Linked DNA regions of Tamandua tetradactyla. The protein of the gene in region 1 interacts with the protein of each later gene in a pairwise test. Links are inferred from orthologs where the notes say so. Each region holds a gene or a part of one and is shown in the gene's direction. Other genes may lie near its edges.

Evidence for each region.
Region 2: the proteins of MPPED2 (region 1) and RXRG interact in binary tests that used the Homo sapiens proteins (3 or more experiments, as listed by UniProt). The two-hybrid records come from large-scale screens. The link is inferred for Tamandua tetradactyla from reciprocal best matches to the Homo sapiens genes MPPED2 and RXRG.
Region 3: the proteins of MPPED2 (region 1) and CAGE1 interact in binary tests that used the Homo sapiens proteins (3 or more experiments, as listed by UniProt). The two-hybrid records come from large-scale screens. The link is inferred for Tamandua tetradactyla from reciprocal best matches to the Homo sapiens genes MPPED2 and CAGE1.

Annotation. Positions count from the first base shown.
Region 1 is NC_135334.1:106,454,539-106,464,809, reverse strand, and holds the start of MPPED2 (metallophosphoesterase MPPED2), read left to right. Parts: upstream 1-5,612; 5' UTR 5,613-5,720; intron 5,721-6,452; exon of another isoform or gene 6,453-6,541; intron 6,542-10,271. UniProt on the Homo sapiens protein: Displays low metallophosphoesterase activity (in vitro). May play a role in the development of the nervous system.
Region 2 is NC_135330.1:18,710,593-18,720,651, reverse strand, and holds the start of RXRG (retinoic acid receptor RXR-gamma), read left to right. Parts: upstream 1-5,665; 5' UTR 5,666-5,974; coding exon 5,975-6,023; intron 6,024-10,059. UniProt on the Homo sapiens protein: Receptor for retinoic acid. Retinoic acid receptors bind as heterodimers to their target response elements in response to their ligands, all-trans or 9-cis retinoic acid, and regulate gene expression in various biological processes.
Region 3 is NC_135351.1:10,025,551-10,035,573, reverse strand, and holds the start of CAGE1 (cancer-associated gene 1 protein), read left to right. Parts: upstream 1-5,714; 5' UTR 5,715-5,844; exon of another isoform or gene 5,845-5,926; 5' UTR 5,927-6,262; intron 6,263-8,043; 5' UTR 8,044-8,137; coding exon 8,138-8,245; intron 8,246-10,023. Other genes in the region: RIOK1 (serine/threonine-protein kinase RIO1), read right to left, coding at 1-1, 2,896-3,124, 5,442-5,512.

The DNA of each region.
Region 1 (10,271 bases):
AGGTAGGCGAAAAACAGGTGTGAGTCTTTGAATGGGGATAAAGTTTTAGGATCCGTGGGTTCCAACAAAATTAGATTAGTGACACTTTATGACATTGTTGTGTTTAGTGCTGCAGTTCTTTGTGAAAAGGTGAGATTCCAAAAGCTGTGTGTATTGGATAGAATAGAGATGACTTGGAGATTTAGGAATGCTGGATTGTGAGTTGTATTTAAGAAAGGAAGTCATTAAGTGATTATGACTCTCAGGCTGTCTGGCTAAGGAGGACTATACCTCTGACCTGCATTTCACAATTCTGCTACACTTTGTTTTTATTATGTAAAATGTATTCAAGCCTCTTGAATCAGCATCTAAGTCCCTCGGGTCTCCCCGTTTTCCAAAACTCTCCTGATGAAGGGTACCATTGCCTCTTCCCTAAGACAGCAATAGCTCCCCAGTGACCTCCCAATGTTCACTCTAGCCCCCTAAAATCCATTCTCCACGCTGGGGGAAAGAGTGCCCTTTTCAAAACACAAATCTCATCATGTTACCCTTTCTACTTAAGATCCTTAAACACATTCCCATTGCCTGCAGGATAAGTCAAGCATCTTGAACAGGGCCTTAGCTGTGACCTTCAAATCTCTCTAACATGGCTCTACAGTTCTGGCCTCTGTTTACAAGATCAGATTCGGACCCCTCTCCCACCATGCAATTCCTTACAGCCCCAGCCACACTACTTCAGGTTTTCCTATGACCACCTTATAATCCTTTCCTCCATCTGGGAAGCCTTCACTCAACCCCAAGGTCTCACTAGTTTATGTTTCCTTTGTACCAGGTGCCTCTCCTTTTCACAGATATAATTTCCATCTATTTGTGCAGCTACTCAAAGTTAGTTTCTCAATATCCTCAGATCATGAGAATGAACTACATGTTTTTTTGCATCATTAGACCATCAGCATGGTATAATAAGTATGGTGTCTGACACAGAGCTAAGCTTAAAACATATCTGTTGAACAATCAAACTATTACATTAATTATATAGTAAGAAGTGGATTTTAGAGTCTACTGGTCTCTCAAACTCAATTTTTAAAAATTGTATTAGCTCATTTATTTTTGTTGAGAAGGAAAATTACATTATATATTACTCAAAATATTAATATACTTTATGCTGTCTTTTCAAATTGAATGATTAAACTTAAAATCCCCCACAAGCCTTTTATTTAATAAGGTTATCATGGATTTTCCACTGACCATCTTTCCAAAGAGATTACTTCCACCAGGGCAAGCCTCTCCCAGTACCACCAACTTCTATAACTTTTTCAAAATTGAAACCTTGACGTGGGGACAGAATGAGCAAAATCAATATATAACAGAGATCAGGTGAGTCTGTTAGGATGGACATTAAAACTGAAAACACACTAACCCATGCTTGCCAACTTATTCCAACTTTAAAAATAATTACTGTATAAAAATAATACTTATCTGATGTATTGATCTATGTAGACATTGACTAGTAAGTTTGGTAAGAATTAACGTGAGTTTTGCAAAATATTAAGATTTCTATCTCTCCCATGCTTATTATTTAAGGTCCTTGCGAAGCTGGATTAAATTAAGCTTTTCTAAGATAATGTCTATAAATTTATTTTATTAAATAAAATTTCATGTCTTCTAGAGTGAAGTTCCTGAATCTTTCTATGCACAGGCATATTTATTAGTTAATTAAAAGGAAATTTAAATACAAAGGACATATAAACATAATTTATATGGTTATATTGAGGATTTCCAAAAGGATCTATCAAAGAATCAGGTTAATTATACATACACACACATACACACACACACACACACACACACACACACACACACATATATATATACACATTATTTTTAGTATATATCTTGGTACATTATCCCTCTAAATCTTAAGGTACAAATTTTACCCCGTATCCTTTTTTCTGGGATCCTTTTACGCTGTATTTCCAAAAAGGGCTGCCTTTAAATGGGCATGGTTCATAAAAAATCTTAAGTTTTTCTATGAAAAAATTAATTCCTGAATGCATATTTCTTATGCATTAGTTCATGTTTCTAAAGACATTAGTAAATACTTTAAAATATACTATTTTAACTACATGGGAAGTGCTTAGCTCTTATCCTCCAAAACTGGCCTCCTATCCTCACTTCCTTTCTAGCATACCTGGTGTGGATTTTCTTTCATTGCCTATTTGACTCATTCTTACTTGCATTCTCTCATTTACCCTCTCATTTATCAACCCATATAGTCATTGAACAAGTATTTCCAAGCTCCTACTATGTGCAAAGGACATAAGCATGGGGGCACAAAGGATTAAAGAGCATAATTCTTATACTGGAGAAGCTAAAAAGTAAGCGCTTTCAACAAGTAAAGAAAATGCAAAAACTGTAGGAATTCAGAATAAAGGAAAGGTGTTTATTGGCTCAGGTTTTTTCCTAATTGCATCATAACGGTAATTCTATCAAGAGGTTCTGATTTCTGAAAATACACATCTTAGCCTTGCTGGAAAATGATAAAACACAAGTTAAAGGAAAATAGTTACTGCTTGTTCCTAGAGATAGACTGCTGCATATAATTTCAAAGAAATTCAACGAAAGACGATAATTTCAATGGAATTTTTTGGTGACGAAGAACCACAGGATTGAACCAAGTTTTAAGTTATAAACATGTCCTGATGTATTGGAAATCCCATTTTCAAAGGGAGGATGAAAGCTAACTCCAAATAAAGTATTGAGCTTGCGAGGGAAGCAGCATTTATTTTCCAAGCTTCCTCCCAGGCTCCTCTAAGTTCTCCCAGACTCCCTTTTCATTTTCTTCACTAAATGCATTCTGAAAGAGATACTTTAAAAAGTATTGCAGTGAGCTATCTGGAATCATATTTGCCAGTTCCTTCAACGACATCACTGGAGAAAGCGTTCAGCTTTACATTCCATTAAAAGCAAACAATCTGTAATATTTGCATAGAGAAAACAGTAAACTTGCCATTTGATTTTTGTACTTCTTTTGTTTTCCATTTTAAACAATAAAAGTTAAATTTAACAAAAAAAAAGAAAAAAGAAAAACAGAACTTGTAGGCTCACTTAATAAGAACAACAAAAGCCCCAGCTTATAGCATTTTAAATATAGTATAATGAAGTTACGTTTCAAAGCAGATGTTAGGAGACAGATAGTGTTCATTTCCAGTCATTTAAAAGTGAGCTTTTAGCGTTGGTAGCTATACTGATGTAGAATAGACTCAACAGAATGCAGTATGTTCAAATCCACATAATGAGGATGAGTTCCTTTTGTTCCTGATTTATTATTTAAATTCACTTACATTTCTCCACCTTCTTTGTTTTAACAGCCTAATGGAAATATAAATTCATAACCCAAATACTGCCAGGTTACTATTTCTCCCAGTAGATAATTGATCCAAGAAAGGATCTTTCTTTCATCACCAGTTCTAATTTTAAGTTTTAATTTTTTTGCCTCAGTTTTTCCTCACTTGTAAAACAGTATAGAAATTTTCATCAGCTTCGTAACAGTTCACTTGACTTTTTAAAACATGAATTACAGCATAATATTTGCAACAAAAGCATTATTATTTATTGTGTGCAGATATTTAGATTCGGAATCATGTACAAAGTAGTTTGGCTGCTTTGATTAACTATCAGTTAGTTAAAAAATAAAAAGGAAGAAAGCAAGCCACAAAAACGATCAGGCTGATGATAATTTTTTTGACTGATTTAATTAATCAGACCAAATTAGTCTACAAAAATTAAACCATATAGATAAGAGGAGTGTACTCCTAACTCATACAGTAAGGGTAGCAAAGCCATATATTTCTTCAAAAACATGATTCCAGTCAGGGCTTGTTGCCTGGTTGGAAAAACAAAAGGAGACAAAATATAAAGGTGCCAGCCCCCACCGCCCTATCTTTGACATCCTTTAATGTCTCTTGCTGTGATTTGTGCTGAACAAGGAAAAGTCATTGGCCTCTCAATCCCAACATATTTGACAAGTACTGATGCTCTGAGCATGCTGTACAATAAAATAAATACATTAATAAGGCCATTTCCCCTTTCATTTCAGCCCAGGCATAAGAGATAGGTTACTTAAAATTCAAGTGCCAGGAAAGCCCATTGTAAAAGGGAAATATTTTCAAGTGAATTCCGTTTGATCTTTTTTTATAGGGACTCCTACCAGCCTCTCTCCCTTCCTCCCTAGACCCTGGAAACCAATTAGTTTCAGCACAGAGGCCACAGACCAGGTTGAAATGACTCCTTTTTATTTTTAGGGGATATAATTTCAGCCAGGATGTCTAGTCAGTTGTCACATAGTGTACTTAGCACACTTCTCTGCCTCTCACACACACATACATTGGATTTCCCTCCAGAGAATGCCTAGATCTTTGAGTCTGGCTCCTGGAAAGGAATTAGATCTGGTTGTCGTCCAAATCCTTCAGCTCTGACAATGGCATAACATCACAGGGCCACCTCATCTTTCACAGACAGCCCCGCCACCAAGTTTCCTAAAAGCCTCCACTTCCTTGTCTTCCTCTTCTAGCATTTCAACAGCTTTTCCATTCCTTATGTTGTTTGCATACAATTCGGAAAAGCTTTTCTTCCATTTTGCAAAGTAGCAGATCAAACCAGACTAACTTTGATTTTAAAAATGTTTTTGAAGTGCTTAGCTTTTGGGGAAAACTACGTGTCCAAAGGACAAAAATGGAGACAATTAAGAGTCTTTGCCTTTCTTCACCTTCCAAGCCTGAACCTGCCTTAATTCATGGAGGTGAAAAAAATTATCAGCAGGGTTGGCCTTTTCTTTCCCAGGAACAACACTGCAAAGAGAAAGAGGGGTGTGTGTGTGTGTGTCTGGCTCTCCCCCCCTGGAAAGTCTCAATTCAGCAGATGGGAGAGGACCTGGGGTCGCCTTCCATGGTCTGAGCACAGTGCCCGAGCCACTCTCCTTGCCACCACCGCCGACTCTGAGCCTTGGAGCGGTGCCAAGACTCCTGACAGCGCCTGGCAGGCAGGTCGGTGGGTGGGAGTGGGGGTGGGGGTCCGGGTTCGCTTTGCAGAAGACGCCCCTTTGGAGGGAGAACCCTTTTATTTTCATGGAGCCCCGCAACTTCCCCTAGCCCCCGCCCATCATTTTTACGCTGATCCTACTCATGATGATGAACTTGCAGCTTAGCTTCCTGCCGCCTGCTTGACCCGGGCGCACCGGCAGGCGGTTCGCCTCGCCCTCAGAAACCTCCTCCTGCTGCAACCTCGGGGCCTCCGGGCGCCGGTGGGGGTTCGAGGCGGCTGGGGCTGCAGGAGGGGCGCGCGGGGGCGCGGGGTCCCGCAGGGGAGCGCGCACGGAGCGGCGCCTCGGCCGCCCTGCTTCCTGGAGCTGTGCTCCTTTGACCCCAGTGGCAGTCCCTGTCACTGCACCGCTCGCGCTCCCTTCGGCTCGCCGCGCCCTCGCTCCCTCTCCTCGCCCCCCTCGCTCGTTCTCTCCCCTGATCGAGGCTGCTCCCGTCCTCTTTCCCCCACCTCCCTCTCGCGCCGCGGCCCCGGACCCCCGCCCCAGCCCGCGGCGGGACCTCCCGGGTCGAAGGTTCTGGCCTGCCCGCGCCCCGCGCCGCCCCCGCGCGCCCCCCGCCGGCTCGGGCCGCTCAGCGATGGATCGCCTGCTCGCCGGGCGTTGAAGGCATCCCCGGGACCCGGAGCGCAGCCCGGGAAAGGTAATCCGCCCCGGGAAGGGAGGCGGAGGGAGGGGGAAGGGGAGGAGGCGACCGGGCTCCCGGTGCCGAGCGCGAGAGGAAGGGGAAAAAAAAATGCACACACAAAGCGGAGCCAGGGTGAGAGGTGCCTTGTCAGAGACGCGTGCGGAGGGCTCGGAGGCTGCAGAACGCGGCTGCCCCGATGCCCCTGACATTCGCAACAGCAGGCGCCTCCGGGGCAATTCGGTGGCGCGCCGGGACCCGGAGAGGGTTTATTTTCAATCCCCCCACCCCGAACGAAATTATATTTTAGGAGCTGTCTTCCCTCCCACTCCCCATCTTGCCCCTGTTCTCTTTTCCCCTCCCCCCCAGACCTTCGCCCACCCCCCCTCCACCCCGACCTCTCGGGGTCCCCACCTCACCGCCCCTTTCTCTGCCGAGATTTTTTTTTCAGGAGGGGAGAGGGGGAGCGGTTGTTGGCAAGAAGCAGAGACGAAAGCCCGGCGGCGGGGATGGGGGTGGGGACGAGGGCTCGGCGAGCTGTTTACTAGAAAGTCTCAGGGTTATGTGTTCGAGCCGCCCCGGCCTAGGCCCGGGCGCATTGTGTTGGCCCGAGCCCCGGGCGCCCGCGGCTGCCCGAGGCGAGGTGCGGTGCCGGGGAAGGCGCCGCGCAGCTTTGTGCTGGGGCTGCTCCCCGCGGCCGCCCCCCGGCCGCCTGCGCGCGCGCCGCTCCGGCGCGGAGCTTTTTCTCACCCTGTCCCCGCGCTCCAACCTCGCTCTCCGCCGCCGCCTCGGGTCTCCGCGAACGCAGCCTGCAGAGCGGGCCGACGACCCGAGCTGGGGCCACGGCTGGGCGGTGGGGCAGGAGGAGCGAGCAAAAGTAACCGATGCCGCCCGGTTTCTCCTATACCGAGGCGGGAGTTTCTCTGCTATTTACGAGTAACAGGGTTATCTTTGTAAAGCCTCTGAATTACGGGGTTTTGCGGCCTAGGAGGTGAAGGGGGCATTTGTCTGGAGATTGGGGAGGGGTGGAGTTGAAATCCATTAGCCAGAAGAGAAATTAAGGATGCCCCAGTGGGAATGATTTATTGCACTCTTCCCCCCTCCCCCGACATACCACTCCGAATTAAGTGCAAATGCGGGTCATGAAAAAAATGTGTAATTGATTTGAGATGCTGCGAACAAATAAACACAAACAGGTCAGAGCCAACAAACAACCAAAACTTTAAGCGAAAGAATATTTCCAAAAGGGGAGGGGGCGGTGGTGGGTCCGTGGCCTCCACACCCCTTTCTAACGCTTTCCGGCTCCCTCCGGTCCTGTCCCCGCCACTCGGGGGAAGGAACCTGGTAGCTTCGGGGCAGAGAGCTGGGAAAGCGCAGAGGCTCCGGGCTCGGGCTCCGCTCCGTGGGTTCGGGGGATGTCGACGCGCCCGGGAGGCTGACGTCGGGAACGTGGGACTGTGATGCCCGAACGAGGATGGCGAGGTGTCAGAGCCATTGGCCGCCGGTGGTCATCAATCATTCCGGGGCTGGGGGACAGGGAGAGAAAGAAAGACAAGCGCCCAGCGGAGCTCTGGGCAGCGAGCGCCAGGGCCGGCAGTGCCAGCGGCGGCGACTGCAGCGGAGGTGACGGGCGGCAACCGGGGCCCGAGCGAGTTAAGGCGAGGTGGTGCTCCGGGAAGGAAGGGGGAGCTGTGGCCGGGACGAACCGGCCGTGAGCTGGGAGGGCGAGGCGAGTGTGTGTGTGTGTGTGTGTGTGTGTGTGTGCTTTAGCCCCCCTCCCCCAGATTTGAAACAAACAAACCAATCCAAAGTAGAGAATTCCGCGCCCCCCGCCCCACCATATATAGACTCCACATGTTGCCGGAGGCACAGGAGAAAAGTCTTGCCCTCCCTCTCCGAAAGAATGTGCCAGCCGGGTGTCCGCAGTGCTGGAGACAAGTTCAGGTGTAAGTGCGGCGGGAGGGAGGGCGCTCTGTGGACAGAGGCACGTGGGATTTGGTGAGCGCATCCTCGGAAAACCCTGGCGGAGAAGCCGCAGGGAAGGCGTGTGGGCACCGCTCCGGGATGCAGGGCTGAGTGCGTGGAGGTGGGCAAAATAAAATAGGGGGCGTGAGTTGAGGACATACTCGATCAATGCGGCAGAGGCAGGAGAGAGCGGCATCCGAGGGAGCGGGAACAGGCGGGCTCCAAAAGTTCTTCCAAACTTTTTGGCGGATCTTCTTGGGGCAAGTGATTAAAATGAGCATCCTCGTTTAAAATAGGAAATCGCGGGCTCCTTTCTCATAGGCCATGTCATGTGGTATACGGGTAGAGCGTTAGTTGTTGCTTTGAAACTTTTAGTAAATTGGACTTTTAGTACCGAGGAGGTGGAGACAGTTATTTTATTCCTCAGCTTTTAATCCCTTCATTGCCAGTCGACTTTAAAAGGTTTTCCAGCTTGATTCCTGGAAAAGAACATTGCTAGTTGCACAACTTAAGGGATAGAAATGATTGCTGTCTAGGAAATGCAGAATGTACTCACATGATTTTTATTATTATTATTTTTAACAAGAAAATCAGACTAGCACTAGCATGAATGCTTGGTAGTGTCGTTCCCTTTTAGATTCTTCTTTAGGCTTCTTGGCATTTAGTACTGTGTTGCTTTGTTTCCTGGAGTAAGTGTGTTAAAGTATAAAATGGAAAGAAGAAAGTACTGCTCTCTTAACTCTTTAAATATTGTACGTAAAAAGAAATAGAAGTATGGCCATGGTGAGATGTTCCAAGACTTGACCATTTGAAAGATGATTTACTAACCTAAATGTGTGAAGCAAGGTGATGTCTCTTTTTGGTAGTTTTAGGCAGTGTGCCTTTCTCTTTTGCTTTTTCCAAATTTCTGAGGTTAAGAGGAGGTGACTATTTGCCATCGTGTCCTATCCTTAGAGTTTACCAGTAGAGCGGTTTTGTTCGTGTGTGCGTGTTTAATATTCTTAGGCTATAGTCATCTTGAGATGCAGGAGGAGGTCAACATAGCATTTTTAAAAATAAGCCTTTTCTTGGCTTGTCTGTAAAGGTGCCTCTGAAAGTTTTGAAGCTCTCTGCCTCAGTCTGACATTTTCTTCAAAGGGCTCCAGACTAAAGAAGATAGGCGCTGCAGGTGCACTATTTCGATAAAACATTTGAAAGAGAACGTGGTAAAGATGAATTCAAATGAGATGCCAGCCACCCATTTAGCTCTTCAGAGTTAGAGGGGCCTGTGCTTGCTGATGAAAAGATGTTCCGTTTGTCTTGATGGGGCAAAGGTGCAAAAAAGGCACAGATGTTCTCTTGATAGAAAAGTATGTTTATGGGTTGACTTTAGGTTAGAATGGATATTTAGGAAAAGGAATTGATTGTGTTCTCCTTGCCTTCAAATGGGAACACTTGTGAGGAGGGCAGATATAAAGCTAACAACTGTAAGTTAGTGCATAGATATTAAACTATAGATATGTATATTTTATTTCAAGCTTCACTTAGCTCAGTTTAATTAGTGAGTTTACTCCAGACATATTTAAAACTGTTCCTGGTACCCCGTGCAGAGAGACTGTTACTCACAGGTCACAGTGCACTAGACATGAATTTGGTTTCCTTTGCTTCTCAGTGTTCTATATTTCACACAATAGACACTGATGGTAGGAACGTAAGAATTGCCATGTAATTTTTACACCACTCTCTAATTTATGCAAACACTAAGTTCTTGTAGTCTGATAATGTGTATTTTTTTTCTTCCTCTGTGCTTTGATGGCTAACATTCTTTTTAATGACAGTCATTTCTACAACAGGAAGATGTTTTCATTTGTATTTACTTTTCAGTGCCACGCAATTATGCAGTTTTGCGCTTCAGTAGTGTCTCGGTACTTTGTGTCTCAAAAGAGAATTACAGTACTTAGAACAGGACTGCAATTTGAAGCAGGTGTTGTGTTTTACTGTTATGCAAAATAACAGTAAAATATAATTGAGGGGGGAAATTAAGGAAACAGCTGCAAACTTGGTATGAAAACTGCTACATTATGATTTGTAAGCAGTTCTTATAGATATCTTACATCAGAGAGCAGGGGAAGATTTTAATTTAGTTAGTCCAACTGGCCTGGATGTCTATAGCCAGCGCTTAAAGGACTCATACTTCCCGTGAAGTCAAGAAGAAGAAAGAGAACCCAAAGTGACACTTTGTTTAAAATGCCAGAACACCACGGAGTCATCTCTTGGCAGTACAGTTGCACGCACGTTAGGGACACAGGCAAACACAGGGTGTTATTTAGCTTGCTTTGCTAATATAAAGAAGGCAATGATTTGAGGAGAACGTTGTGGAATTCCTTAGCCCAGCTAGCATATGGAGCACTGCACAAGCCCGGGGTTGTAAAATAATAAAATAAATGGCCTATGGCAGGCCATCTGCCTTTTGCTCGATCTTTAAGGTGTTTCATGCCAAATTTAAATCCAATCTTATCATTCCAAATATTTTTATTTTAGATAGCAGCTAAGATTCCTGGAGCTTAATGGTGCACATGGCAAGTGCAATCTGATGTGGGGCAAAGACAAACGTGCGTGTTAAAC
Region 2 (10,059 bases), on another chromosome or scaffold:
CTCCCTCACATGACAATGTCTATCTTCTTCTTTGGCTTTTACTGACTTTTCTGAATTTCCTCTGCTTATTATAAGGGCTCCTATGAGTTGTATGGATTAAGTTCCACCTTGATTCAATTTAGCCTCACCTAAATAGGATCTTTAAAGATCCTATTCACAAATGAATCTATACCCACAGGACTGGGGATTAGAGTTTGAACCTGTCTTTGTGGGGGATGTGATTCAAGGTACCACAGCCAGAATTGAGATTGTCCTTACATGATTCTGTGATGCCAGGAAAAGGAGCTACTAAAAATGAAATTTGGGCTGCTAAGAGCTATTGGAATGTAGGAATGGACATACTCTCCCCATCATGTCCAGTGTCCTGTTGTTGACCTCAGGAGCTCTCGGCATAATCAACAAACTTTTATCCGTTCATGTATCACCTATTTACTGGGTTCCTAATATGTGCTAGATTCTGTTATAAAGTTTGTAGAGGCTACAAAAATAAATCTGACTCATTTTCCAGAAATTTAGGGTTTGCTGTCTAGGAAGAAATTTTTTTCAGATGCATTCATGATAATAGTACATGGAGGAACATGTTTCATGACACAAGAACGTTGCCAACCACAGACTATGGGGGTCTTAAGGAGGGAGAGAATAGTCTAGCCACAGGGCCACCTAGAAGGCCCCATGAGAATTGCTTGGAGGAACTGGTGGCATTTCAGCTGAGAGCATAAGGAGGGGAGGCTATTATAAGCAGAGGGGCAAAGTGAATACACACGTGAAAGTGGATTACTAGAGGACACCGTTGGAAAATGGTGAGTCACATGAGTGTGACTAGCTTGTAAAAGGGAGACAAAGCAAGGAACAGAGGTTTTCCAGTTGTGCAGAGTTCAAAGGTGATATGACAGGTGAAACACGGGATGCTGGGTGAGACAATGGAGCAATGAACTCTTGGAGGCCATACCATCTAACACGGTAGCCTCCTGAATGCATGGAGGATGTTCCCACCTCAGCACCATTAGCTCTACTGTTTCCGCTGCCTGGTGCATCCTCCCCAACCTCCTCCTTTCTTCTCCAGACTGAAACCTACTCACCCTTTAGATCTGAGTGTACTTGTCATTTCCTCAAAGGAGGTCTGTCCTGACCTTTCTATTTAAATTAGATTCTCCTGCTATAGTCTTTCATAGATCCAATTATTTCCCTTCACTGCACTTATCATAGTTTATGATGACATATTTATGTCTGTGACTCTTTAATATTTCTCTTCCATCATACTGCAAAGCTCCATGAGGTCAGGATCTCTTCATCTCATTCCCTAGTTTAGCTCCAGTGATTGGCAGATAATAAGCTCTCAATACACGTTGGCTGAAAGATAAATGAATGAAGGAGGGACAACAAAGAGGGAAAACAATATATAGAAATGCACACACACACATTTAATAAAAATATATCATTAATGAGCGAGGAATCATGATCTGGTGAAAGATACATAGGCTGGGAGTCCAGGTCAGGGTCCTAGGTTTTATACTCGTGTCTACTAGTAGTGAGACTTCATCCAAAACCCAGTTTGTTAGAGTAACTCTCTTTCCTTCTCTGGTTTCACAGCTTTGGTCTCAAATTTCTCATTTATGAAATTGAGATAATAAAAACTGCTCTGTGGGATAGCATACCGTAACTCAATATACTGTTATGTAGGTAAAGCACTACACAAACATAACAATATTAAACCATAGTAGCAGCTTTAGGGGCATTTGCATCTAAATTTTATTGTTAATGTCTATTGTCAATTGTCAAATAAATGAATTTGGTTTTTCATTCTGTATCTGTTACAGAGATATAGAATGATCATTTTCTATGATCATTGGTCAAAAACAGAAAGAAAGAAATCAAGACAAAAGGCAAGGCCACATCCTTTGAACACCAGGGCAACTGTAAGATATTATTTGCTGAGTCTTTTCAAATACACTAGTGAAAACTCTTGCTCTTTTCATTCACTTAAAGCCAGTAAGGACTTTAATAGAAGCAAACCTATGGAAGAGGAATAGATACTCAGCATTGACAAGGAGTAAGCCCAGAATCCCTATGAATGAATTAGCAGGTTCCCACCATAGAAAGTGGGCATTTGTTCTTTTACTTGACATCCTAATGGGAATTTAGTAACAGCTGGAGACATTGGAATGACTGAAGTTGGTGGCTTGTCCAAGAAGGGCTTAGAAATACCAGACGGTTTCAATAATCTTGTTATATCAATAGTGCTCTTAGAAAAGACACGGCGGTGCCAAGGAAAAAAATGTGGATGTGAAAGAAAAGCCATATTCATTTTTCTTGAACTGTAGGCAAATGTTTATGGTTCGTTATGGGGTGTTAAACCATATGGAAGTCATCACAGGGAAAGAGGCTGGGGTGTTTTTTGTGTATTATAAGCATATCAATCCTTTTTTAATGCAAAAAAGATTTATTGAGCATCTATTGTGGGGGAAAACAAAGACATGAACACTGTCTCTGAAGAGTTAACAATCATGTAATGAAGAGAACACATACTCAAAGGATAGGTAAATGCTTCAGCTCCATTGTATTGGGGGGTGCCACAAAGCCACACTAGTTGAGTGTCATCTGAACACACTGGACAGTAGGTTTTGTCAGACTTAGGCTAGGGGAGCTCTCTGGGGATAATCGTGGGCCTGGTGGGAACTGAGCTGGAACTTACATGCGAGTTAAAATTCTGACAGTTGGGAGAAGGTAAACCAGGCTTGAACAAGGAACCAGAAGTTAGAATGAACACATCGTGCTCTCACAGTGACTGAAACATCCAGACCAGAGGGGATATTCAGAGAAAGGGAGGAAAGAAAATATTAATTCCTTGTACTTGTATAGAAAGCCAGGGTGCCATACTTGCATTACAAATGATCCACAAAACGCAAACAAAAAGACCCAGAAATCTCAGTAGAGGGCCGGCAGCGTGGGCATTTTCCCCCAAGGTTAAACAAGCTTGTCCAGGGTCACACGGCTGGAGAGCAGCAGGGCTGTACATGACCTGGCCCTGGTGATGACCTCACAGGGCACTTTCCTCTACCCTAAACTTGGAAATTGAGTTGAGACATATGGGGATGATGTCCTTTCTACACCAGGTTAAGGAGTTTGGACTTTATTTTGGGAGGAAAAGAAGTAGGCATTGTACTTAACTTAGCAAGAGGGATAAAAAGGTAGTCTACCACAAACTACAGATCACCTGTACGTTGACCTTGGACAAGGTTCTAGAGTGTTTTTTTTAAAGGGTGGCTTTTTTTTGGGGGGGGGGGAGTGGGGGAGCTAGGGTCAGGAATAGAACCTGGGTCTTCCACATGGCAGGTGAATATTCTACCATGGGACCACCCATGCGCCCCTAAAGGAAGGCTCTTGAGTACTACAAGAACTCTTGCCAGCATGAGTTCACCAAAGAGGAATGTGTTGTGTAGGAATGATTCCCTTCCTTCTCTGACGGGTATACTTGACGGACTGAAAAATGTAGCTTGTACTTTAGTAAGGCACTTGCTTCACATATCTCTGCGGAGAAAATGGACAATTACTGAATGGATCATGGATTTAGTTTGCATTGTATTTTAAAGTTGAAGGGGCTATTCAAACGTATCTAGCCCTGCTGCATCATTTTAGCAATGAGAAAAAGGAAACGAGAGGCAACATGACTTGCTTAAGGTTGCATCACCACTGCCACCATCATCATAAATATAGCTTTCAAAGTAAATATTGAATATTTACCATGTATCTGCCATATTCTAAACAATCAACATATGTTGACACATTTAATCCTCATGATAAACCTATGAGGTAACTGAGGCTCAGAGAGATTCAGTAACTTGTCAATATCACAAGGCTGTAAGCAAAGGAACTGTGATTTGTACATAGAAAGGTTGGCTCCTGAGCTGGTGTTTTCTTTATAGATATGGGCTCTTTAGGCTTTGTATCTAGTCAGAGTTAAAGGCACATAATGAATGGACTTCCTAGTGGCATGCTATAAGATGTCACTCTTGCTAAGCCCTTTTCAATACTTTTATCAGACAGATAAAAAACAGAAAGCCGATCAACAGCTCTTCAGAAGTTATGAAATGGGGAAAGGAGAGGAATAAGAAATACACTGGATAACAGAGCAGGATCCCCAAAGATCAGGGATGATGAAGGAATCCTAAAAGTTTTCAGTTCGGAAGAATATAAGAATATTATAAGCAGGCCCCCAAACCAATTGCCCAAAAATGCAATGAGGAGCATGTATGAAAAAGAACAGTTAGGGGAGCGTTGTCAAGTTAATTCCACAGGAAATGACAGGTGGGGCTACCCACCAGCTACCGCAAGTGAGCAAATGGCCCACTGTGTCCTGCACAGGTCACACCACCCTCGCCTTGCCCATGCTCTGAGAGCCCAGCAACCGACCTAGGGAGCCCTGGGTGTCCTCAGTCCCTTCCAAGAGATGCCTTGGATCTTTCCCAACTGCTCTTGCTCTGGCGCCCACCTTGGTCCCCGCCTCCTTTTCATCCTCACTTTGTTCCTGCCTCTGTATCTTTATTCTTAGTTTGTATTCTGGGTTCCCCTGGTATTCAGGTCTGACCGCTACCTCCCCTTACCATGAGGATGTTTAGGTAAACTGAAGTACATTCATGGGTACTAGATAAGTTGTGGATAGACTGGAATGTGCTATGACACATGGAATGACAGAAGGAACTAAGAGGCCTAAAGATGAGGAGCCTGTGGGTATAGGAGATTTTGCTCAGGATTTGCAGAAGACCCTACTATGAAAGATCCCACAGGCTTCCCTTGTGTGGCTCCAGGGTGTAGAAGCCGTAGAGAGAAGAGGCAGATTTCAGCTCAGTAAAAACTTTCTTATAGTAAATGCTGTTCAGAGATGAAATGGAACAGTAGTGAGCTCCCCGTTATCCGAAGTATTCAAGAACCGGCTGACCAGTGATTTAGTAGGAAAGCAGTATAACAGACCCAGACATCAAAGGGGTGGTTAGACTCTTTGATCTCTGGGTTGGTTTTACCCAAAGAGTCTTTGTGTCTGTGAAGACCAGGGGTGCTTTTAAAACAGACGACTTAATGACCATGTATATAAAGTGAAAGTGTCCCTCCGGTGAGTGTCAGGGTCAGGCCCAAACCTCCTTCCTACCTGTAAATTTTCCATGTGAGTGACTTCTAGCTTCCAAATGCACTTGTCAGGCTTCCACTGTTAGGGCACAGCCAAATGCTTCCAGCCACTATATTAAAAGAGACCCACCCAAATATGAGGGTCACTCTATTTTAGTCTTCCATGGCTGGTGGTGGAGCCTCACGTTTTTATATTCTTGCACTCATGAAAGAGCTCTGTTCTTTCTTGGCCCCCACCCCCAACCCCTTTCACAGATCAAACGCCAAGTGCACTGGATAGATAGAAGCTGGAGTGAGAAAATGCATTTTAATAAAACCCCATTGATTTTTTTTGTGGGTACAAGTCAAGGGAAAGAAAGGTACCTAAAGACTCTTCCATCCCCTGCCATCTCCCTCGCTCTGCTGACCTACTCCGGGGCGGTCATACATCGATTGGCTTCCGAGATAATAGATCGTGCCACCGGTGGGGACCTCTGGGGATGAGCCGGGAGCTGGAAGTCGCACGCAGCAGCCCAGCCCTGAGTTAATCAAACTAGCAACAGGATCTCGAGCAGCAGCGGTGGCGCTGGCAGGAGGAGCGGCGGCGGCGGCATCAGCATTATGCGTGATTACTGACAGGCACCAGCTGCTGCTGCCACCGCCGTCTCAAACGCACTATGTGGACTCTCAGATGTAGAGGCGGATTCCTGACTAATCCCGGAGGGCTGGCCCAGCCTGTGCTCCTGGGGCTGCTAGGAAGCAATGACCACTCTTGTTAGCTCAAGTTGAAGAAAGCCCGGCTTTGCTTCGGAGCTGGGAGAGGCTGTAATACTTCGAAGACGCACAGGAGAGAAATATGAACTGAGGAGTAAACATGTATGGAAATTATTCTCACTTCATGAAGTTTCCCACAGGCTTTGGCGGTAAGTAGCTCACTTGGACTTTACTGAGAAGACCTGCCCGGAGGAAGCTGAGTGGCAATCGGGGAATACGGATAAGCGGATGGGTATTGATTTAGGAGACCGCATATGTTTATCTGCATCTATAGTGTGTTTCAGTGTGAGCGTGCTCTGTAGATGAGGATATGTTTGCATATCAGAATGAGTGAACAGATGAGAGGATATAGGGATATTCTAAGTGCCTAAACCAGCAAGCTTGAGAATGTCTGAGACAAAGATAGAATAAGACCATTGTTACAACCCAGTGTGTTTGTGCGGGCATGAAAAGTGGGAGAGTTAAGGAGAAATTGGGATGATATGACTATTATCCAACTTGTAATGAGAAAAAATTGGATTAAAAAAGGTTTTGCCTTTATTAAGAGTCCCTGGAATATTTTGCAACAGGGGCATGATTTGTTTTATTTTAAAGAAGATTTCTCTATAATTGGATTTTTTTTGTACAAGAAAACATAGCACTTTAATTTGCCACCTTGTTTTCCTTCTTCTGTTTTCTTCCCTTTTGATTTGCTAATAGCCTCTTCTCCCCTCCCTGCTGCTGCCCCAAATTTCCTGGCAAGGATCACAGTCATGACTTCCACTCTGGGGGTCGGGATCTAGGGGGCGGGGGTGGGTCTGGGCTCTCATAACAGAGAACCTGCAAATTGAAGATCCAAGTTGTCAAGGCAGGCAGGGCAGCCCCGTCCAACTTCAGAGAGGCTTCCGGCAATGGGCCCGCAGGCTGCCTTACTGCCCAGACACGTCTGTCCCAAGGATCCCTGGATGCAGTGACAGAATCAGCACAAACACTCGCCCAGCTTTGAGTAAGTGGAGCAACCAGCTGACCAGCTGGCCTCTCACTTGTCAGTTGGTGGCATGTAGCTTATGCTCCTGGGAGCCAAAGGAGAGCTTTTGCCCTGTGGAAGCCAGCAGGCAGGGCAAAGCGGAAATTCTAGTAAGGTCTTGAGAACTGAAAAGTCTGTGCTTTCCTGACTTCCTTGGGGGACAGATAGCCAATTCATCTGAAGCCTGGGGAGTAAAGGTTGCCCACTCTGCTGGGCAGAGCACCCTGTGGGTGGTGCAACATGCAAGGTGGATGTGGTGCCTGCCCAGGAGACTACAGGCTGGGTGGTTTGCTCATTCATTCAAGGTTCATGGAGCAGTTTTTACGAGCTAAGCGGGGTGTTAGGTGCTTGGAAGACAAATATGAATGAGACACAGTCCCTGCCTTTGTGGACCAGGCTAGGCTTGTTAAACTGCATGGTGCGTGCTATATGGGAGACACAAGGAAGGAGGGAGCTGCTTGCTCACAGGGGCGGGGCCCGCGGGAAGGGTCCTGGAAGAGGGAATGTTTAAGATTTGGGCCAGTCTGGTGGCATGACCGAGTGAGTGCGGTGGCCAATGCTGTGACCTGGACATTGGATCTTCAATTCAAAGTTGGGCCCCGGGTGTGAAAAGCCTTCTTGACTCCATTCACAGAGCTGAGAATCATTTATTCCTTTCCCTCTGAGTTCAGTTGCCTGAGAAACATGCTTATCCTAAGCCAGATTCCCAGGTCTCCCAAACCTCTGGGAGGGCATGACTTCATTAATGCAGAGAAGACTCTTTGAGACAGATCAGGTAAATTAAAGGATTGAAGGTGGAAAGGTTTATGTAGAGAGCTCAGGAAGAGATTGTAGAAAGAGGGTCTAATCCAAAATTCCATGGGGGCTGCCTGCTGGAATCGTGGAATGTCAGTTCCCTAAGGGACCTTAAAGAGCACGTTGGATGTGTAAACTCAGCCCTAAAGGAAGGCAGGGACCAGTCCAAAGGTGTGGGTTGAATGATAGAGCTTTCCCAAAGAACTCCTAGATTTATAAAATACTAGATTTATAAAAGTGTTATTTTAATCTGTTATAGTGAAAAGAGCATGATGAGAGGGACAGACAGAGAAGGAGAGATGGAGTAAGTTAGCTGAGTTTAGGTCTCAGCTTTTCAAGTACCAGCTGTGTGACTTTGGGCAAGACACTGAACCTTTCTGAGCCTCATTTTATTTGTTTGTTTTTTTCTTTCTTTTTTTTTGTCTAAAATTGGGTGTATACACCCATCCTCACAGTATTGTGAGACTTGAAAGAGCTAGCTCATGAAAATGTAGCTACTATAGTGCATTCCATATAAATGAAATTTACTATTTTTATCCCCTCCGTTTTGCTCAGATACTAACATGGAAATTAATTTAAAAACCTGATATTACTGTAGAATAATGAATTAGGAACCTGGGAAAGCAAGTTTAAATCCATGAAAACCCACATATTTTGCTTGTTTGGATTTCCATAATTGTAGAAGCTCTAGTATTTAGCATAATTAGATTTCATACAGAAGCAAGTGCTATGGTGCAGCTGGACATTGTGGAAGAAAATAGTCTATAGAAGCTGGGGAACATGAGGGGAAAGGGTCATCCAGATTGGTTAAGTGTCTCTCTCTAATGTTACTTTCCCTGTCATTCCTGAGGGAGGAAAACAATTATTTTATTTAGTTCTGTTGATGTTCTCCATTTTGTTTGCATGCACTGGTTAAGAGGAGGCTGGAACACTTTGACCCAGGACCCTGCCCCCCTGGACAGGGGAACTCGCAATGGGAGGGAGCAGGGAAGGAGGAAGGGGCCTTCGCAGGCACTGGGGAAAACCTGAGAGCCAGCGTGGACTTCACCTGCAGCCTCCAGCTGACTTCGCCCCAGCATGGCAAATTGCACCGCACTCATTGCATGATTGCTTGTAGAATCCCTTACCCTTTTATGTACTATCAAATGAGACCACAGAGGGCTCCTGCGATGTGTGTGAGAATCTCTAGGGAATCAATGGCACCCTTTGGAAATCACACCTGGGATTTATGTCTGAGACTGTGCTCATCAGATGACAAGCCATCATTCCAGTCCATGTATAAGGGACCCGTCAGATTGGGGCCTGCCCTGGGGGCAGAGGGTCCCATAAAGGCGACCACTCTCCCCTCCCAGCCCCGCCGTGCATCCGTGTTGATGAGAGAACTTTCTCTTCTCGTTCTCTGCCAAGTCCGGGGTTTGCCAGCTGCTCAGTAAGAGATTTGTTTTTCCTGGGAAGAGACAGTTGCTGCCTATAAGAAGATGGCAGAGCAAAGCCTGTAATCCCCCATCCAATTGTGCAGTAATCCTCAGGGTAAGAAGGAGGTCAGGAAGAGAGAGGGCTGCTCTCGTTTCATTTAGCAAACATGCTGTGACACTAAGTGCCAGCCCTGGCCATTGTAAGCACTTCCCAATATCGCCTTATTCCATGCGCATCACAAGCCTATGTGTAGGTACTGCCATCATTGTCCTACTACTTTATAAATGAGAAGTCTAAGGCAATGAAAGGTGAAGTCACTTGTTTGCGGTCCCACTACTAGAAAACGCCAAAGCCAAGGATTTAACCCAGGCAGTTTGGCTTCAGTCCATGCTTTGCCGGGCTGCCTCTCAAGGCTACTGTAAGAGAGAGTTTTGTTCTGCAAAGCTCGTGGCAGCAGCACACCCCAAATGGGAGAGAGGAACCCAATCCAGCCTTGGAAATCCAGTCTTAGCGCTGCCCAGTGGTTGCAGAAACAACGACCTGGCCATTGAGGAATAAAGTAAGTTACCTTGGAAGCATGATCTCTTAGCACTAAAGGTGGCCCCTCCCAGGTTCTACTGACATGCAAGAGTCCTGCCCCACTGACTCTTACCGTGCAGGTAGAAAACTCCCCTTTTCACCTAAGAATAGCTACAGATGGGGGATTGAGTTGGAAGGGCTCATGTGCGTGTGTATGTGTGTAAATGTGCGTGTGTATGGGGGGGTGTCAGGGATATCTATGTACGTGTGTGTGTTTATAGGAGAGGTGTGTGTATGTGTGTGCGCTCATGGGTGGTACATATGCTTGTGTATATGTGGGAGGGAGTGTGTGTGTATGGGTGTGGGAGGAGGATGTGTGAGTGTATATGTGAGTGTGCCAGCACATATTTTTTTCCCTCCACAGATGTGCGGGTGGTTAGGACCTACCA
Region 3 (10,023 bases), on another chromosome or scaffold:
CCTAGATGAAGTGAATTTCAGAGTCAAGGGGGTTAGTTGTAAATAAAAATCTAAGTTTATGATTCCATGTTTTTTACCCTTGGTTCATATATTAAGCTCTTAAAGCATCAATATGAAAAATACTCTAAGAAAAGTTAAGACTCAATCAATCAAGTCTGAACAAGAAATATAAAATAAATGAAGTTATTGGCTAGAAAAAAAGCCTGCATAATGTGGATTTTTTAACTGTAATACAGTCTTCCCTGTTACAAATAATTAAAACTAAATACAGTTTTCTAATTTGAATGGTTTATAGATATAAAACTTGAGAATGTTCACTGATCCCCAAAGTATATAATAAAAAGCTAAGACCAACATTAGACTGGTTCTAAGAATTTCCTTTTGGGCTGAGTACCTCAAGAAAGGTAAAGAATGGTAATGAGGCTTCAGCACTAAGACTGTGGTACGCACAAACATAAATGGTGACAAAAACAAAGACAACATCTAAAACCCCAAAAGTATAGATAAAAAGGGCCTATAACAATGATGGATTCAATTTTGTAAACTAGCATGGTACTGAGTTTTTTATTTGTATAATACTTTAAAAAATATCTATTAAATTTAACTTTTTTTTTCTTTTTGGTGCATGGTCTGGGAATTGAACCCGGGTCTCCTGCATGAAAGACGAGCATTCTACCACTGAACCACCCGTGCACCCTAAATTTAACTTGTAAAGTAAGTTTTTATTAATGTATTCATGGTAGAAAACTAAGGTAAAATTTTTTTCAATCACTTATAGCCTTTTTTTTTTTAGAGCTCTTTAAGAATTATTTTTATTAATTTGCTATTATCATCTGGAAGTATAAAAATTTATATTGAACAAGGAAACACAAATAGAAAGTTAGCCACAAAAAAAAACCAGAAACAGAAATACACTTTTGAAAGGGACAATGAAATGTTTGAATATTCTTCATCCCATTTCTGCTATCATTTGCAGAACAATTCTAACTGTAATACAGTGTTCCTTCCTATAGAACTACTTTCAGGGCACTTCTTTCATGAACCTAAATTATATTGAGACCAGATTGAGTTACAGAATAAACTATTTTTGGTTGTTTTTCTTCATAAGCTTATAACTAAAATCTTTCCAGTTTTTTCAAAATATAGTGCAAAAAATTATATTCAGGAATCACCTATAGCCTTTTTTTAAATAAACTTATTTTAAAAATATTTTTATTGAGAAATATCCACACACATGCAGTCCAACCATATTATACAATCAATGACTCACAATATCATTACGTAGTTGTGTATTCTTTGCCATATCATTTTTTTTTTTTTTAAATACATGGGCAGGCACCGGGAATTGAACCCGGGTCCTCTGGCATGGCAGGCAAGCATTCTTACCTGCTGAGCCACCGTGACCCACCCTGTCATATCATTTTTAAAACATCTGCATCACTCCAGAAAAGGAAAAAAAACCTCATGCATCCCATACCCCTTCCCCCTTCCTCCCGTTGACCCACAGTATTTCAATCTACCCAGTCTTTACCCTTTATCTCCCCCCATTATTTATTTATCCTTATTCTTCTTATTATTATTTTACTCATCTGTCCATACCCTGGATAAAGGAGCATCAGACACAAGATTTTCACAGTCACACAGTAAAAGCTATATAGCTATACAGTCTTCCTCAAGAATCAAGGCTATCAAAACACAGTTCAGTAGTTTCAGGTACTTCCCTCTAGCCACTTCTTTTTTTTTTTTTTTTTTTCAATCACCTATAGTCTTGACATCCAAAGATAATAGTTAATATTTAAGCAATATACTTCCAGGTTTTTTTTTCCAGGCTCTTTCTTAAGGGATTATATATACTCCATGCCAAAACTAATCAAAGTTTTACCAATAAATCAATTAAGGGGTTACCAAAAAAAGACCAGAAGTATGTGTAATTTCTTCAGTTATTTAAAAAATTCATGCATTCTACTCCATAATATAGCTCTATTTTAACAATAAAGAATATTGCTGGCTTTTTCCCCCCTCCATCTTTCAAAATCCTTTATATTTCAGGAAGACACCCTTATCAATCCTATGACTGCACACAATAGACACACACAGTACTTTCAATTTGAGATACAGGCATGATTTATAGTTTGGTAACTTATCTCCTGTACATGGTAGAAGAAGGTTGATCATGAACATATTTCCTCCATGTCATTAAATAATCTTTCCTTGCAATATATCTTATGGACATATAATACTCCATTGTGTGAATAAGCAGTTCAATAGCAAATTTAACCAGTTTGCCACTGTGGGGAAATTAGTTTGTTTCCAATGTTTCTCTACCATAAACAATACTAATACTGGACGATCATTCTAGTAAATAAAGTCTTGGCACACCACTAGAGGAATTCTGTGTGAAAGGATTTGTATGCTTTTAAAGCTTTTATCATATCATGCCGATTTATCCTCCAAATAATTGTACTTATTTACCTGACCATCAATTATATATTTTGTCACTGTTTATTTCATAAATGAAAAAATGGTATTCCTAAACATTTAATTTTCATTTCTTTACTTGAACTTTTCCTCCATGTTTCTTAACCTTTTGTAGTAAACTGTCTATATTTGTGGCCTTTTTTATGATGATTTTTAAGCTCATAAATTCACGACACCTTAAATAACTCCTTTAAAATTAACTGATTTTGGAAAGACTGGACCTACGAAATTATCAGAAATACAGAAAAGATAAAGAATGAATATCAATAAAGGAAAAGGCTGGGACCACAGAACAATATAAACTGGGAAGAATATTTCAATTACTTAATTTCAGAACCACGTCCATGAGGAGGACTTTTAACAAAAAGACAGCATAAGCAGAGAACTTAAAGACATGTAGGATCACTTATAAAATACCTGTGGGTTATTCCTTCCATTGGAGGGATAACCTTTTGTGAGTTTTCCAACTCCATCATCCCAGTCCCAATCATCATCATCATCATCATCATCATCATCATCATCATCATCACAGGCCTCTTTCTCCTCTTCAATCTCATCTTCACCCGCCTTCTCATTCACATTATTTTGAAGGTTTTCAAAGAGAATGCCATCTTCCTTTTTGATTGTCCTCATGTCTCTGTTTTCACTAGAAATAACAATGTTCTAGAATGTTTACAAATATTTTAAGTGGACTCACAATCCACATATATATTTACTTACTACATAACAGACCATATTGTATACAGATAAATCTAAAAGATTCCCTTACAGCATATCTCCCAATAAGCTCAATCCTCTCAACAGAAGAAGTTTCTCCAGTTTTTCAAAGTTCTGCTGCAGTTCTTTGCTTACTCTCCATGCCCAAGTTCCACTAGGGAATAAGTGCATCAGTTGTTAAGCCCCTTCTACCTTAATGAAGTTAGACTTATATTGTCATCTTCCCTACTGAATGAACCGACTCTTATTAGTACCGAATTATCTGACTAAGAAAATCACCTACAGAACTGCTTTAACAGAAAAGTTTTTAAGTCGAGAATAAATCTCAGGCAGATTTACCTTGAACTCAACTCCACCATGCAACAAAAGGGCTGTATCAGGATTTAGTATATTACACAGAACTCCAAATCACTCTTGCTCATATAAAAGGGAGGGAATGGTGAATGCAGAGGACTAGCTTTAAGACATAAAGAGAAATGGGGATTGTCAAACTGAGAGAAAGTGAGAGAATGGCCCAGGGTAAGTTTATCACTTGATGTGAACTTTCAGATCCAGTAGCAGATGAGAATGTTTTGCAGCATCCCTGGCCTGGTCTACCACCAAATGGCAGTAGCACCTGTCCCTATACCTTCATGAGTTATGACAACTAAAAATGTCTCCAGAGATTACCAATAGTCCTTTAGGAGCAAAACCACTTCCAGCGGAGAAGCCCTGGCTTATCCTCACCATACCCCATGATGGATGGTAAACCAGCCCACTTTCCTTAACATTAACTGGTCACTCTTGTTTCTTCTTCCCTAAGGCCTTTTGTATGCTTATCTGTAAACATAAATGGGGAATGCCCTTCCCATTTCTCTGGCTAAGCCCTATTCATCCTTCCATCGTCATCAGACTATCATTTGTTCAGGGAATTGTTCCCTTTTCACCACCCATTTCTCCTTTGTAGTGCTTATCTAATTCTAACACAAATTATTTTGTCTAATTATTCAATGTTTCCCCTGCCACAGCATAAGCTCTGTGACATCCAGGACAAAGTCTGTTTTATTTACCAATGTTTTCCTATGACCTAACACCAGATCTGGCACATAGAAAAACGATCAACATTCATTTATTGAAAATTCCCCAATCGGTTAATAAACTCTACAAATTTTTAATGAGCCAATATGAATCCTTACTGCAAACTAAGTAAAAACTGTTTTCTTGGGATTTTCTTGGAATTTCAAAATAATTCTGTTTCTCTTTCCTCACACCCCACATCCAATTTATGATCAAACCATATAATTTCCACGAACAAAACATACCTCTATGGCCCTGATTCTAGCTCTCATCATCTATGAATGAGATTACTCTTTTTGAACTCACCTCTCTGCTTCCACTCTTACCCTCCATTATCACCATCTAAAGGGCAGACAATTCCTTCAAATCATAAATCAAATCACATCCTCCCCCTGCTAAAAGCCCTCCTACTGCTTTCTATGAGATGTCGAATAATATCTACACTCCTCATCATCACTTGCAAGGCTCTACATGACCTGGCCCCTTCTCACCCCTTTAAAATCACCTCCCAATCCTCCTAACTACCTTCCCCGTGTTCTAGGTACACTGGTCTCTTGTTCTTTCACAGCCAACAGGGACCCCGCCTCTGGACCTTCGCATTTTCTGTCTCCTCTGCCTGAAATGCTGTTCCCTCAGCTGTTCCCGTGGTTAGCGTCTTCTGGTCTTCTAAATCTGGGCTGGGTTCTTTCCGACCGACCAGTCAGTCATTATTTAGTATATCACCCTTTCTCACTTCTTCGCATAGTATATATTATCTGATTTAAAAAAAACTTTGCCTGCCCCTCACCCAGGCAAAAGGCAAAGTTCCACGACAGCAGCAGCTTGGTTTGTCTTGTTCATCACTACCTCCAGCGCGGAGGAGGGGACGTGGCACACAGTAGGTGCTGAAAGGTAACGCGCAAAAACCTTTGTTCCCCAATCCTTATCCCCACCTCTACCCCTCGGTAAGCTTATACAACTAATAGGAAACCCTGGACCCCGGTGGCCACTGGCTGCCACTGACCCTGCGTAAACTGGGACGAAAGACCCCAGCTGAGGGAGGGGGGAGGAAGCAAAAGACTGATAAGCGAGACGCTGAGCCATGAATTACCAGTCTCCCCTAGACCACTACTAAAATGTCAACTCCCGCAAGAGGTCGGAGGAGGAGAGAGCAGATTCCGGATAAAGTCGATGTCCTCAACGGCCTTCACCTGTCGGAGGAATCCGCGTCGTCAAACTGCCCAGGGACCGCCCGGCTCATCAGCAGCCGCCGGTAGTCCATGGCGCAAGCGCGGTAGGCCCCTAGCGCCACCGAAGGATCGCGCGGGGAGGGGAACCGCACAGACACGGTTTTACCCGCCGCCGATGGAGCAGCGTCTCCGCAGATCCCTAACTCTCCAACAGCTCAGAAGCCCGTACGCCAACAGCCCCCGCCACGTGCGGTGAGCGGAATAGACCAACGGTTCTCAGCGAATCCCGGCCCCGCCCAAACCGGAAGCCCGGTCCCGCCCCAACCGGAAGCTCGGTCCCGACAGGAAGCCCCACCTACCCAGGAAGTACCACTCAGAAGTCCCTCCCCTGCGCCGGGAACGTGTGTGAGGCCCTCTCCCGACAGTACGCAGGGGAAACGCTGCGGGGCGTGTATCCGTTTGTCTCGGGGCGGTTCAGTCAGCACCTCGCTTTGTGTTTCTTCTAGGTAAAGGTTTCGACAGGTAGTCCACACGCTGTTCAGTCGCAACCGCATAGCTTCAGAACGCCTGGCACGGAGATGCCGAAGTTCCCCATGCCGCCGCCCGGGGCTGCGGTGAGGGCGTCGGAATGTGACTGGCATCTTTAACCGCCCAGATTGGCTGCATTCGAGCCGACGTCATAGCCGGGTGGTTCCAAGTTGTCTGGATCTCAGCTGCGAGCTTTAAAAAGCCGTCTGTGGAAAAGTTTGAAAAGCGTTCTTCTTCCTGCCACGGAGCACGGTGCGGAGGGAGGAAGCACGAAATCCCTATTGTAGACCCAAGAAACTCAATGGAGCCTGAAAGTGAGCACACTTTGCGTCTTAAAAAGTTTGGTGCATTGCGTTGAGATGAAAATGAGACAAGTGCTTTAAGAAGTTAAAGCTGTTATATGACTGAAGAAAAATTGTTAAGCAAAATCTTAGAATTTTTGCGAGTATCTCCACTGACACCTCTTCTAAAGCCTATTTAAAGAGAATGTTAGTGTGTGGAATATCTAGCCAAATATTTTTAAAATCCAACTTTAAGGAACTTTAATCTAACTTTATGTAAGGACATAAATAGAAGATGTATAGCTGACCATAAAATGTGGCGGGTTGTGCAGTGCCATATAAGCGTTGAATAAAGTTGTAGAAGTGCAATTTGAAGTTCTGGTTCGCACACAAAAAAAAATAAGACATAAAGCCTTTGTCTTTTTCTGTGTTTGGTAAATAACGCAAGGAGTTTTCCAGGTCCCATTCCCCACGACTCAGGCAACATTTCCGTATTTGCAAGATAGGGAAAGGTTGGTCATGAAGTTGGCCTTTTTGCCAATCCTGACTAGCTTGCTTGGCTCATTAGCTTTTTTTTTTTCTCCATTAACTTTTATACTTTACCAAATAATTCCATGGTTTTCAAAATAGTTAACGCAGTTCGAGTAACTAATTCAGGCAAATGGGTAGTGCCTGCCAGCTTTTTTAAAGGGTTTAACATAAATATATAATTGAAATGCAATATGTTGTTGATATTTACAGCTTGAACAGCCCAGATCTATTTGTTGTAAATGGTATTGAAAAACAATGAATTTCTCATATGATGCTTATAATCTATGAATACAAGTTCTAATACACCTGAAACAGTGGTGAAAGCTCTGGAACAGAAAACAAATAGGTGCTGAATTGAGAGACTCAAATTTAGAATCTGAGGACATCCTAGGAGTTCAAAGAAATAGATGAATAAAACTAGGGAAAGTTTTGGGAAAGAGAAGCACATGCTGCAGCAAATTTTTGAGGTGGGAAGGAGCATGATCTATGTGCAGGGTAGTGAGCCTCATCTGGCTAGAGCAAGGGAGAAGTGAGTAGGAAATGTAAGTCCAAATTATGAAATTATGAAAGGCCTAGATAGTTGAGCAGAAGAATCTGGTCTTAGTTTGGTTGGTCATCATTTCCATACTAACAGTGCTTCAGTTGGACATCCAGACTTAGGTCTTCTGGCATACCTGAGGAGATCACCAGAACATGAAACAGTGTGATAACATGAAGGATGGAAAGTAAACATGGGCCGTGAAGAAATTTAAAGGAGAAATTAATAGGACTTGATAACTGAGAAGCCTGGTTGCTGGGGTAGAGATGCCAAGAAAACATCAAACCTAAGTACCTAAGAAAATAAGTGTGATGTAGGATAGTGAGGAAAATAGATGTGATGTTGAATAGTGGATTTCACTTGAGATTGAGGTGTTTGAATAGGAGGTATCAATTACATAGAAATATAGTGTCTTATGGAACCTAATAGGTCTCCGATAATATTCTGTAAAGAACCTTTGATTAAGTAACTCAGAGATCCCGTTTTCTTCTGTGTCTAAGCCTTTTAGGGAATTGGATAGTAACTACACATATTGACTTGTTTTTGTCCAAATCAATATCACCAAAGTAACCATGGGACACTCAGACTAAACCATGGTACACTATTAATCTGTCTAAATAACTTAACAAATGACCTTTTAAAGTTTAGGACAGTGAACTTTGCTATCTTCCTACTGTGAAAAAGAATGGAAAAATAACTTTGTTTACATATACTAATAGGCATTAAAATTATGTTTTTTAAAAAGGTTTCCATCATTCAACATTCAAGAGCAAGAACTATCAAAAATTTTGACCATCGTCCATTCTGATGTGAATACTTCTCATGAAAAATTACAAAGCATGTCAGAAGCAGATGCCATGAATATCAGTAATCTTTCTCAAGACTTAACTCACTCAGATTCTCCGTTCTGTATGGAAACCAGCAGTACCACTTCAGATTTGCCTCAGGTGTGCATTGCTCCTAAATTCTGAGGGGCGTGGGGTGGGAAAGAGTACAGTTGTAGTCACCATTCACATTGTCTTCCACGGGAAAATTTCTTCAAACGTATAAGAAGCAATGAAAAGCTCTCCAGTGGAGCCGTAGAGGGAAAATATGAAAAGTGGAATTTTTCAGGCAGTGTTTTAAAATCATCAGCCTCGTCATGAAGTCCCAAGAGGGCAGCCAGGGGACATATCCACAGCAGTCAGAGAAGCAGGATGAAAGCCAGAGGGGCCTAATGCCTGGTTCAGTACATCTTCCACTGTATCAGTATGCTTCACATGTCATTCATACTGATGATGATAGCACCCTGCATTTAGATGACATCATCCCTATCTTTATGAAAATTGCTTAGTGCCTTTTCTCACAAAATAAATGATTTTCATGTCCCATGGTCTTCGGGCATGTTCTTCTGTTTAATAGAATGAGAGGAATGTGTTAGGTCATGCCATATGTTATCTTTTTGTAGGTCAAAAATGGACAGATTGACAGTTTCATATTCATAGGTTCACATTCATAGGTTCAAAGTATTGGCATAACCTTTCTAAAGAGCTGTTTAGTAATGTATAGGAGATTAAGAATTTAATTGTGCTTTAAAAAAAATTCATTTAGCTATTCTGCCTCTAGGAAATATAGAAATGAGGATGGTTACAGAACTATCGTAATAACTGAACATTGGAAACAACCTAAATTTTCATCAGGAATGGGCTAGTTAAATTGTGGTACAGATGTACAGTGGCCATATAACCTTAAATATAATAATGCAGATACGTACTTGTTTGCATGGAAAAATGATCACATTGGTTCTCACTGATAGTGGTTTTTTTAGTTTATCTTTTTTTTTTTTTTACAATGTTCAGGATTCTTTTTATAATTATAAAAATCTATTTTCATTTTGATAAAAAACATGGCCATAATATTTTTTTCAAGAGTAAACCTTTATTTTCATAACTTTTATGACATTTCATTTTTAACATTTAACTTAATACTCTTTAAATTTTTTATTGTATAATATAACATACATACAAAGCAAAGAAAGAAAAAAGTGATGGTTTTCAAGGCACTCTTCAACAAGTAGTTACAGGACACATCCCAGAGTGTGTCATGGGCTACCATACCATCATCTCAGATTTTTCCTTCTAGCTGCTCCAGAACATTGGAGGCTAGAAGGAATAAATATGTTTTTATCATCACAGTCGACTTTTTTTTTTTCTTCTTTTGTGAAAAATAACATATATACAAAAGAGCAATAAATTTCAAAGGACAGTGCAACAATTAGTTGTAGACCAGATTTCAGAGTTTGGTATAGGTTACAGTTCCAGTTTTAGGTTTTTATTTCTCACTGCTCTAAGATACTGGAGACTAAAAGAAACATCAATGTAATGACTGAACAATCATACTCGTTTGTTAAACCCAACCTTCTCTGTGTAACTCTACCATCACTTTGATCTCTCCCGCTCTTCAGGAGTATTTGGGTTATGGCTGTCAATAATACAGGGTAGGGAGATGAAACTAGCTGATGTTCTGGAGAGGCTGGCCACTCTAGGTTTCAGGGCCTATCTGGTCCACGGACCCATCTGAAAGTTACTCTAGTAAATGGAACCTTTGTAGAATCTTATGTATTGCTCTAGGTGTTCTTTAAATTGGCTGGAATGGTTTTGGTTGGGGTTTGGCAAGTTATGGTAGGTAACGATGTCTAACTGAAGTTTGCATTAAGAGTGGCTATTGGAATAGCCTCTTGACTCTA